2 linked regions of the Elephas maximus indicus genome follow. The protein of the gene in region 2 purifies or fractionates together with the protein of the main gene of each other region. This does not show direct contact. Links are inferred from orthologs where the notes say so. Each region holds a gene or a part of one and is shown on either strand. Other genes may lie near its edges.

The links.
Region 1: the proteins of UTP4 (region 2) and WDR75 purify together in Homo sapiens (co-immunoprecipitation; 3 studies listed by BioGRID and IntAct, counting the BioPlex papers as one, with this or other methods). This does not show direct contact. The link is inferred for Elephas maximus indicus from reciprocal best matches to the Homo sapiens genes UTP4 and WDR75.

The regions. Positions count from the first base shown.
Region 1 is NC_064824.1:87,568,852-87,572,766, reverse strand, and holds the start of WDR75 (WD repeat-containing protein 75), read right to left. Parts: upstream 2,430-3,915; 5' UTR 2,298-2,429; coding exon 2,212-2,297; intron 1-2,211. UniProt on the Homo sapiens protein: Ribosome biogenesis factor. Part of the small subunit (SSU) processome, first precursor of the small eukaryotic ribosomal subunit.
Region 2 is NC_064839.1:35,379,552-35,383,466, reverse strand, and holds the start of UTP4 (U3 small nucleolar RNA-associated protein 4 homolog), read right to left. Parts: upstream 2,427-3,915; 5' UTR 1,534-2,426; coding exon 1,273-1,533; intron 1-1,272. UniProt on the Homo sapiens protein: Ribosome biogenesis factor. Involved in nucleolar processing of pre-18S ribosomal RNA. Part of the small subunit (SSU) processome, first precursor of the small eukaryotic ribosomal subunit.

The sequences.
Region 1 (3,915 bases), on a different chromosome or scaffold from region 2:
CTACAGGGTCACTACGAGTTGGAAGTGACTCAATGGCAATGGGCTTGGTTTTCGGAGTTTAAACTCAATAGGGCCCAAACTGACCTCAATATCTCTCCCTGTTAATCCTAATCACAAAATCACTCCAAAAACCTGTCTCTTCCCTCCATCCGCAATGATGTTATCTTAGTTCAGGCCAAAGTCACTCTAGTTTGGATGCCTGCACTAGCCTTCTAACCCCTGGTTTTCACTCTTCTAGACTCTTATTCTACCATTTCCCTATGCCATATGCTGCAACTATACTGATAATACGTGTATGACCTCCCCAACTCCAAACCAAGCTCTTCCCTTTGCTGGAATGCCCTCCCTCAATGTCATTGGTGGGAGAAACTCCTGTCAGTCTTCCAAGATCTTACTACTGATGGGAAACTTTCACTATGTGAGTCCTTCTTCTAGGCCATGGCTGTACCTTGAGTATACTAGTCTACCCACCTCTCAACTCTCCAACACATATTATATAGTTTTCTACATGAGTTTTGTATTAATATTTTTGAAGAAACACAATCATGTTACATCCCTACCTTTACTTAGAGAATAAAAAACAAACAAAACAAATAAAAAACAAAACACCATCCTTGGACCAAACAACAACCAATACCTGTCTCCAAGTTCTCTTTCCAACTTCACTTCCCATTAGTTCTCTTCAGAGACCACTCCTACTAGCTAACTGCATCACAGGCTGTTCAATATAAATATGCCTCTGAGTTTGAACTGACTCAAAGACAACAGGTTTGGTCTTTACTTCTACCCTTCTTGCTTGTGCTGTCCCCCACCTGGAATGCCTTCCATCCACATCCCTTGGTCCAAATAACACCTACCCTTCTAGGTCTAGCCTAAATGTCACCTCCTCAAAAACCTCCATTTTCCCAGTGTGAAGTACTCTCCCCTTTTTATTTGCTTGCACGGTACCACTGTATGAAACATCTGTTACTCAGTATTTCTTTTTCCTCATTAGATTGTAATATTTGAATTCTCTTAGTTCTTGACATCTCATAATGTTATACATCGTAAGTATGACAAATATTAGAAGTGAATTTAGGGCCTGCAAATGAAACACACAACAGACCTCATAAGGAATAAGTTGTAGAAACAGTACACTGGAGAAGAAACTGGATTAGTGGGTATTAGCCTAAAGCGGCAGAATTTTGGCAAACTCTCAGAGCCTCAGTTTCCTTCTCTGATTCATGAGTATCAACAAAGCCCTTTTTAACTTTAAAGACCAAGGATTTGAATTTTCCTTATTAAAATTTCGAAAGGAATTTATGAAAGCTCCTTCAGTCATGTGTGTATTCAACATTTGCCATACACCCATATGCAAAATACTGTGGGGGATACAAACTTTCCTAAGATACTATTCCCACTCTTCTAAGACAGGGCTGTACTTAGTGCCATTATATTCTTACATTATTTGAAAAACTTATTACAATGTGTCACTTGTAGATTATGATAACGTAAGAGTAATGACGATGGTAGCTGACATACACTGACCTATTAAGTGCCACGCACCGTTTTACAAGTTTTACGTGTATTAAGGCATTTAATCCTTCAAACAACTCTATGAGATGTGTTACTATCCCCATTTTACAGAGAGACAACTGAGACAGATTAAGAAACTTGTCAAAGTCACACAGCGTAAGAACTGGGTTTCAAACTCAGGCAATACTTGGGTTTAACTTTTTATCCTGCACAGAGTCTACCATCAGTTTTCACACAAAGCTGCAAAAAGGTTGACTAAGTGCCTTATGTTGGGGGGGGGGTTAAGTATAGGAAAAGCGGAATCTTTAAAAGGTTCAATAATTCCAAGACACGATTCTATACCAAACAGTAAAGATACTCCTGGTGGTACCGAAAGCGCAGCGGACCACATTTCAGACACCACAACGCCAAGCCAATGAACACGTGGACCCGCCCCTGTACACCTCAATCTACCAGAAGACAAACTGTCCAGGGACGGGGAATCGAACCCAAGCCTGTGGTGCCAGAGGACTACTCTCAGAGTGCACCAGCTCCCTCGCGCGTGCTCTGGGGTCTCCGCTCACGCGCCCCTTCCCCAGAGCCCCGATCCGTAGGCAGGCGACATGAGACGCAACTCTGACAGTTCTCTCCCCACTGCCTCCCCTCCCCGCCCCCCCGGGATTTACGCCCCACAGCCGGGCCGACAAGGTCCCATACTTAGAATCCGCAGAGAAAACCGCTCTCCTAAAGTTCAACTCGCTGCCGCCACAGCGAACCACGCGGAGACTCGCCTCCTCCACCATCTTCGCGCAGACGCAGTTTTCCCGATCACTGGCCCCGAACTTCCTATACTGAGCAACAAAACTCTTACAGGGCTTCTCTAGCCAGAGCCTCTATGGTAGGAGCCGGCGCCCGTGCCGCCATCTTTTGTTTGGGCAACGTCAAAATAGGACGCCTGTGAAAAAAGAAAGCGTAAAACGCACAGGGTATATAATATACGGCTACGCTATAGTAGAGATACATCTCACTCCGGCCTTGTCAATCGAACTCTACAGATTGTTCCGCTACAAGGGAAAGGTGGCGCATAGTGAATCACGTGACCTCTCCTCCCACCGTAAGCCTCGCCTTTCTTGAACTACGATTCGGTCGCTTGGAGATGATGCTATAGTCTTGTGCCGACTGGTTCTTGGCTGCGAGTTTGGCTTTCTTGAGTGGGGAAAGTAGTTTTCTACTTCTTGCACAGCTCTGTGTTCCTCTCGGTAACTGCTACTTTGTTCTCGTCCTCTGAGCACCACATACGTTCCTACAGGATCTCTACAGCTCCGAGTGCCTTGCTTTTGCCTTTCTAAAACCTCCGACTGTAAAGTCTAGTGCATCGCATCCTTTTCCTTCCCCGTCAGTGTAGCTACTGGGGCAAATCTGATATTCGGCCTCACTGGCCAGGTTCTCCGTTTAGTGCTCCCTAGTTTGCTATGGGCTGTTTCATACGTGTTGCCTTGGTTTTACCCTCCTCCATCCTGATCTGATATTCTGCCTCACTGGCCAGGTTCTCCGTTTAGTGCTCCCTAGTTTGCTATGGGCTGTTTCATACGTGTTGCCTTGGTTTTACCCTCCTCCATCCTCCTCCCGTACCTGTGGGTTAGGTACCCCTGTACTCTCAGAGGATGTTTTTTATGCCTGTATCTCCAGTTCCTTGCCCCCCCACTTTTAGAATTATTGTAGTGAAAATATATATAACGAATCATTTGCCAGCTCAGCAATTTCTGCATGTATAATTCAGTAACATTGATTACATTCTTCAAGTCGTGCAACCATTCTAGCTGCACATTTCCAAATCATTCCACCACCATTAACATAACCTCAATGCCCCCAAAGCAAAAACTCTCCCTCCTTCCCCTTCTTTCCACACCTGGTAACCACAAATAATCCTTAGTTTCTATGTATTTGGTTATTTCATATAAATCAGATCATACAATTTGTCCTTTTGTGACTTTTCACCCAACATGTTTTCAAGGTTCATTCATGTTATGGCATGTATCAGGACTTCTTTTTATGGCTGAGTAGTATTCCATTGCATTTATATACCACATTTGGTTTATCCATTCATTTTTTGATGGACATTTTGTGTGTTTCTACCTTTTGGCTATTGTGAAAAATGCTGCAATGAACATTGGTGTACAGGTTTCTGCCTGTACTCTTCATTGTTTTGACTCTAGTTTTGTGTTACAGTATCTCCTCTTTGAAATACTAGGGAGAATATGTTGCAGCAGTATGGGACTTTTACTTGTCTATTTTTTCAAAAAGAAAACAACTTCAAGGTAAGAATTCCTTTTTGTTAGCTTTATTTCATTTATTTAAGGGTATGTTATAATTTTGTTCTATATTTGTGATCCAAAACTGTTTCTAGTTATCTGTTACAAG
Region 2 (3,915 bases):
CATCTCCACTGCCCTTGCCTCAATTCTCCCCTGACTACTAAACAGTCTCTCCTCACTGGACTCCCAGTCTCTATCCTCCTTCCTCTTCCATCTCTTCTTCACCCTACAGCTAGAGAGTCCTTTCTAAAATACAGTTCTGGTTATTTCACTTCCTAGAGCTCCCTATAGCCTGCATGACAACTCAAGCTCTTTAACGTGTTACAAAAGGCCCTAAACATTTATCTGGTCTCTACTACAGCCTCATTTCTCCTACGCTCTTTAAAGTGTCCTGTCTTTTCTGGCCATTGCTGGGTCATTGGACACGTTGCTCACTCTGCTTTAATAGCTTTCTCTGATTAACTCCTATCAGTTTTTTGGGGGTCAGCTCAGTAAGTCACCTCTTTCCAGGTTTCCTAAACCTGCCTATCTGAGTGAGGCACCTCTCCACCGAGGTTCTGTGCCTGTGTTTAGCTTTATCACAGCATGTATCACACTATTTGAAAACTATCTATGTACTTATCTTTCCCCCAGCTGGACTCTGAGCTCCTTGAAGGTAGGGCCTCTGACATTTGCCTTACAATACCTAGTATCTCTCACTTATTCATTTGGAGATTTACAGAGGGCCAGGTATCAGGCTGTTGGGATCATATTAGGTATTCAGCAAATGTGAACTGAATTAAAAGCTGCACCTGAAGAAAAACAGCAATCGGTGCCTTTGAAAAAAAATGCCGCTGTAACATTCCTTTGGATATATCTAAAGAGTGTTTTACCTAATTTAAAATACCCTTTACTCCCTGATATCTGCATATAAGTCTGCATTCTCTTGGACAGGTGAACATAGGAATCTATCTTCCTGCTATTACATCACCAATTTGATACTAAAATGGTGATCATTTTTTCTAAATTGACAATGAAACTAGCACTGACAGTTCCAGCAGGAAGTGCTTCCTTACCAAAGCTGCCAGGGTGCTGAGATTGATATAAAGCAATGGTGTGGAAAATTTCCCTTCCTGCTGTGCCAAAAAGATCCAGAAAACCTCAGTTTTCAAATGACAACAATCCCTAGGTAGGACCATTCTAATCGACATTACACAGACCAAAACTCTGAGCTCCATCATCAGTCAGACAAAAGATCTCATATTTGCCATATCAGTTATATAGTTCTAAACAACTCCAGGAGGAGAGAGTTACATTCTTTTGATTTCTTTGAATATAAAAGACATAAAAGTTTTGTGGACTTGAACTTAAGAAAAACACATCAGAAACACCAGATCAGGCTCTAGAATGACTTACTTTCTCCTGAAAGTAGTTTGCTGACAAGTTATAAATTTCCACAGTGCCATCTGTTCGTGAAACAGCCAATCTGTTTGACTGGTTATTGTAAGCCACACAGCGGATCCCTGATGGGACATAATTAAAGAAACGTACTCGATGGACCCTAAATTCACCCATTCCTAGGAGGGGGGAAAAAAGAGAGTCATTATTGTTAAACTTTAACTGCAGCACGTCACATGTAATCAGTTCACTATCAGTGTTCTGGATTAAAAAACTCATTGCTGTGGAGTTGATTCCAACTCATACATGGGAGGATTCAATTATATCTCACTGATGTCCATTTCTGAATATCTAATTCATAATGCTCTCTTGCCCACATAAGAACCTATCAAACGATCTCCAAGAACTCAGGATGATTTGAATAAGGATACTTCGGTAAAGAATCAAAAGATGAAAACATAGAACATCGCCCAGACTCTTAACAATCCCATCCCATGAGCTGCCTCAAGGAAATGGTCCAGGAAAGAGGAGTGAGAATCTCGAATTTGATCTGAGAACAAAAGGACTGAACATAACCTCCTTCTCTGCCTAATTGGGAGCCCGCACCTGAATAAGGGAGAAACACAGAGCTGACCAGTTGTGTGAGGGGCAAAAGCTAAGGTTCTCCCTTCTACTTTGTGTGTGAAGTAGACACCGCCACCAGAATCAAGAAAGAATGACAGAGAATGGAGGACAGCTTCCTATTAACACTTCTGGCCTAAACCACACAAAGACAGAGAAGGCAAGAAACGCTGACAACCTAAATCAGTCTCTGAAAGTGAGGCTTGTAGAACTCCTGCATCAAAATCACCTCGGGGAATGGTTTAAAAATGCAGGATTTGGGGTCCTACCCTAACCCAGTCCAAACCCAGTGTCTTACTGCTCCGGAATTCCAATCTTGCGGGGAGAGAGGCGGGAGAACAGGAAATGTATATTTTAGCAAGCACCTCTTCCCAACTCTACAGCAGGCTAAAGTTTGCAAATCACAGACCCAAACTAAGCTAGTGACGGTGGGGCTGACGGGTGAGGGCAGAATCGCGAGTTCCTCACGGGGAGGGAGCGAAAGGACTCAGTGACTTACTCTAGATGCACTGTTTGGCTTCTGTCACTATTTCTTCCCCTCCACAGACCCCGCACCCCCACCCCGGCTGCCAACAAACATACAGCGCCAAAGGTAAGGGTCGAATCTGGTACGCCACTTGCTGGCCTTAGTTCAAGGCTCTGAACTCGGGGGCACAGCAGGCATGCTCGGTCCGGCCCCGGTACGAGGGCGTCTGAAGCGGTTGCAAGTCTTCGCCGCCCCTTCCTTCTCTGGGGGTCTGTGGAATAGCCCCCATCCCGTCTCGGCACGAAGGACTCAGAGAGCTCCGCTGGGCGCGGAAATTGTACGAATCCCACCCCCTCAGACTCGCCCCTCTCACACGCTTCTCAAACCCCTTCCCCAACTCACCCCCTGTCCCGCGCTCACCACTCTCCGCCCCGGTCCCACGTGCGCGCGCGCTCTCGTGCTCTGCCCCGGAAGTGTTCGCGACACGAGGCCGGAAGTGCGCAGGCAGTGCTCGCGGCGGCGGCGACGGCGGCGGGAGGTTCGGTTGTCGCCCGTTGGCCGCGCGGCGCCGCGCTCGGCGGCCGCCATTGCAGGTCAGGCCGCGGGCGGGGGGCGCGGGAGGCCGCGGGAAGCGAGGAACAAGCTGGGGATGGGGGCGAGGGCGCGAAGGAGCGGGTAGCTAGGGAGCTGGAGCCGGATGGGGCGCGCAGCTCGGGTAGAAGAATGGCGAGCAGAGGGGCGGGGAGCGGAGGGGCGGTGGGGAGGGGGGAGGGGCGAGGAGAGGGCCGCGCAGAGGTGGGGGCGAACCCAGAGGGGCCCCGGTGGGAGGGCTGGGAATTGTGGGGGAAGGGAGGGGTGTGGAGACGGAAGGCGGAGGGAAGGAAGGGAGCGAGTGGGGCGGAGCGGAGCGACAGAAGGGCGGAAAGGGTGGCCGAGCGCGGGCGGAGGACGGAGAAGGGGGCGGCGCGGGCCGGATCCTCGAGGTATGTGCGGGCAGGGGCTCTTCCCCGGGTGGATGGGAGCCCGACACGCGAGGCTTACGGGAGTGGGGAGGACTAGGAACCCAGGAAGTTGCGAGGATGGCAGAAAGATTTCGTGGGGGGGGGGGCGGGGGGAGGCCAGGACTGTTAGGTTTTTTTGATGGGACATTTTAAATCATGGGGTGGGAGGTTGCTGGGAAAGTTAATTTGGAGAGCCGTTGGAAGGAAGAGACAGTCTGGAGAGTGATTCCAGGCTTTTTGGGGGGTGGAATAGAATATGTGAGAATGGGGGGGGTGCTGGAGGAGGAAAGTAACTTTAGCATGGAAGGGCGAACAGGGAACAGTTTGTAGAATGAGGGTGGCAAAGTAAGAACGTTTAAAGAGTAATTTTTGGGAGGATGTGAGCGGTTTGAAAGGCCGCTCCGGTGGGAGGTGTGGAGGAGGGCAGTTTAAATATTAATTCTTTGGGAGCTAGGAAAAGGGGTTAAAGCGCTTGGAAAGCGGGCCCAGCGAAGCTGTAGGGGTAATTTGGTGGGGTTGGAGAAGAGGGGGGAGCGGGTTGAAATGTCCCAGAAAATAGGAGGGACTAGAAAT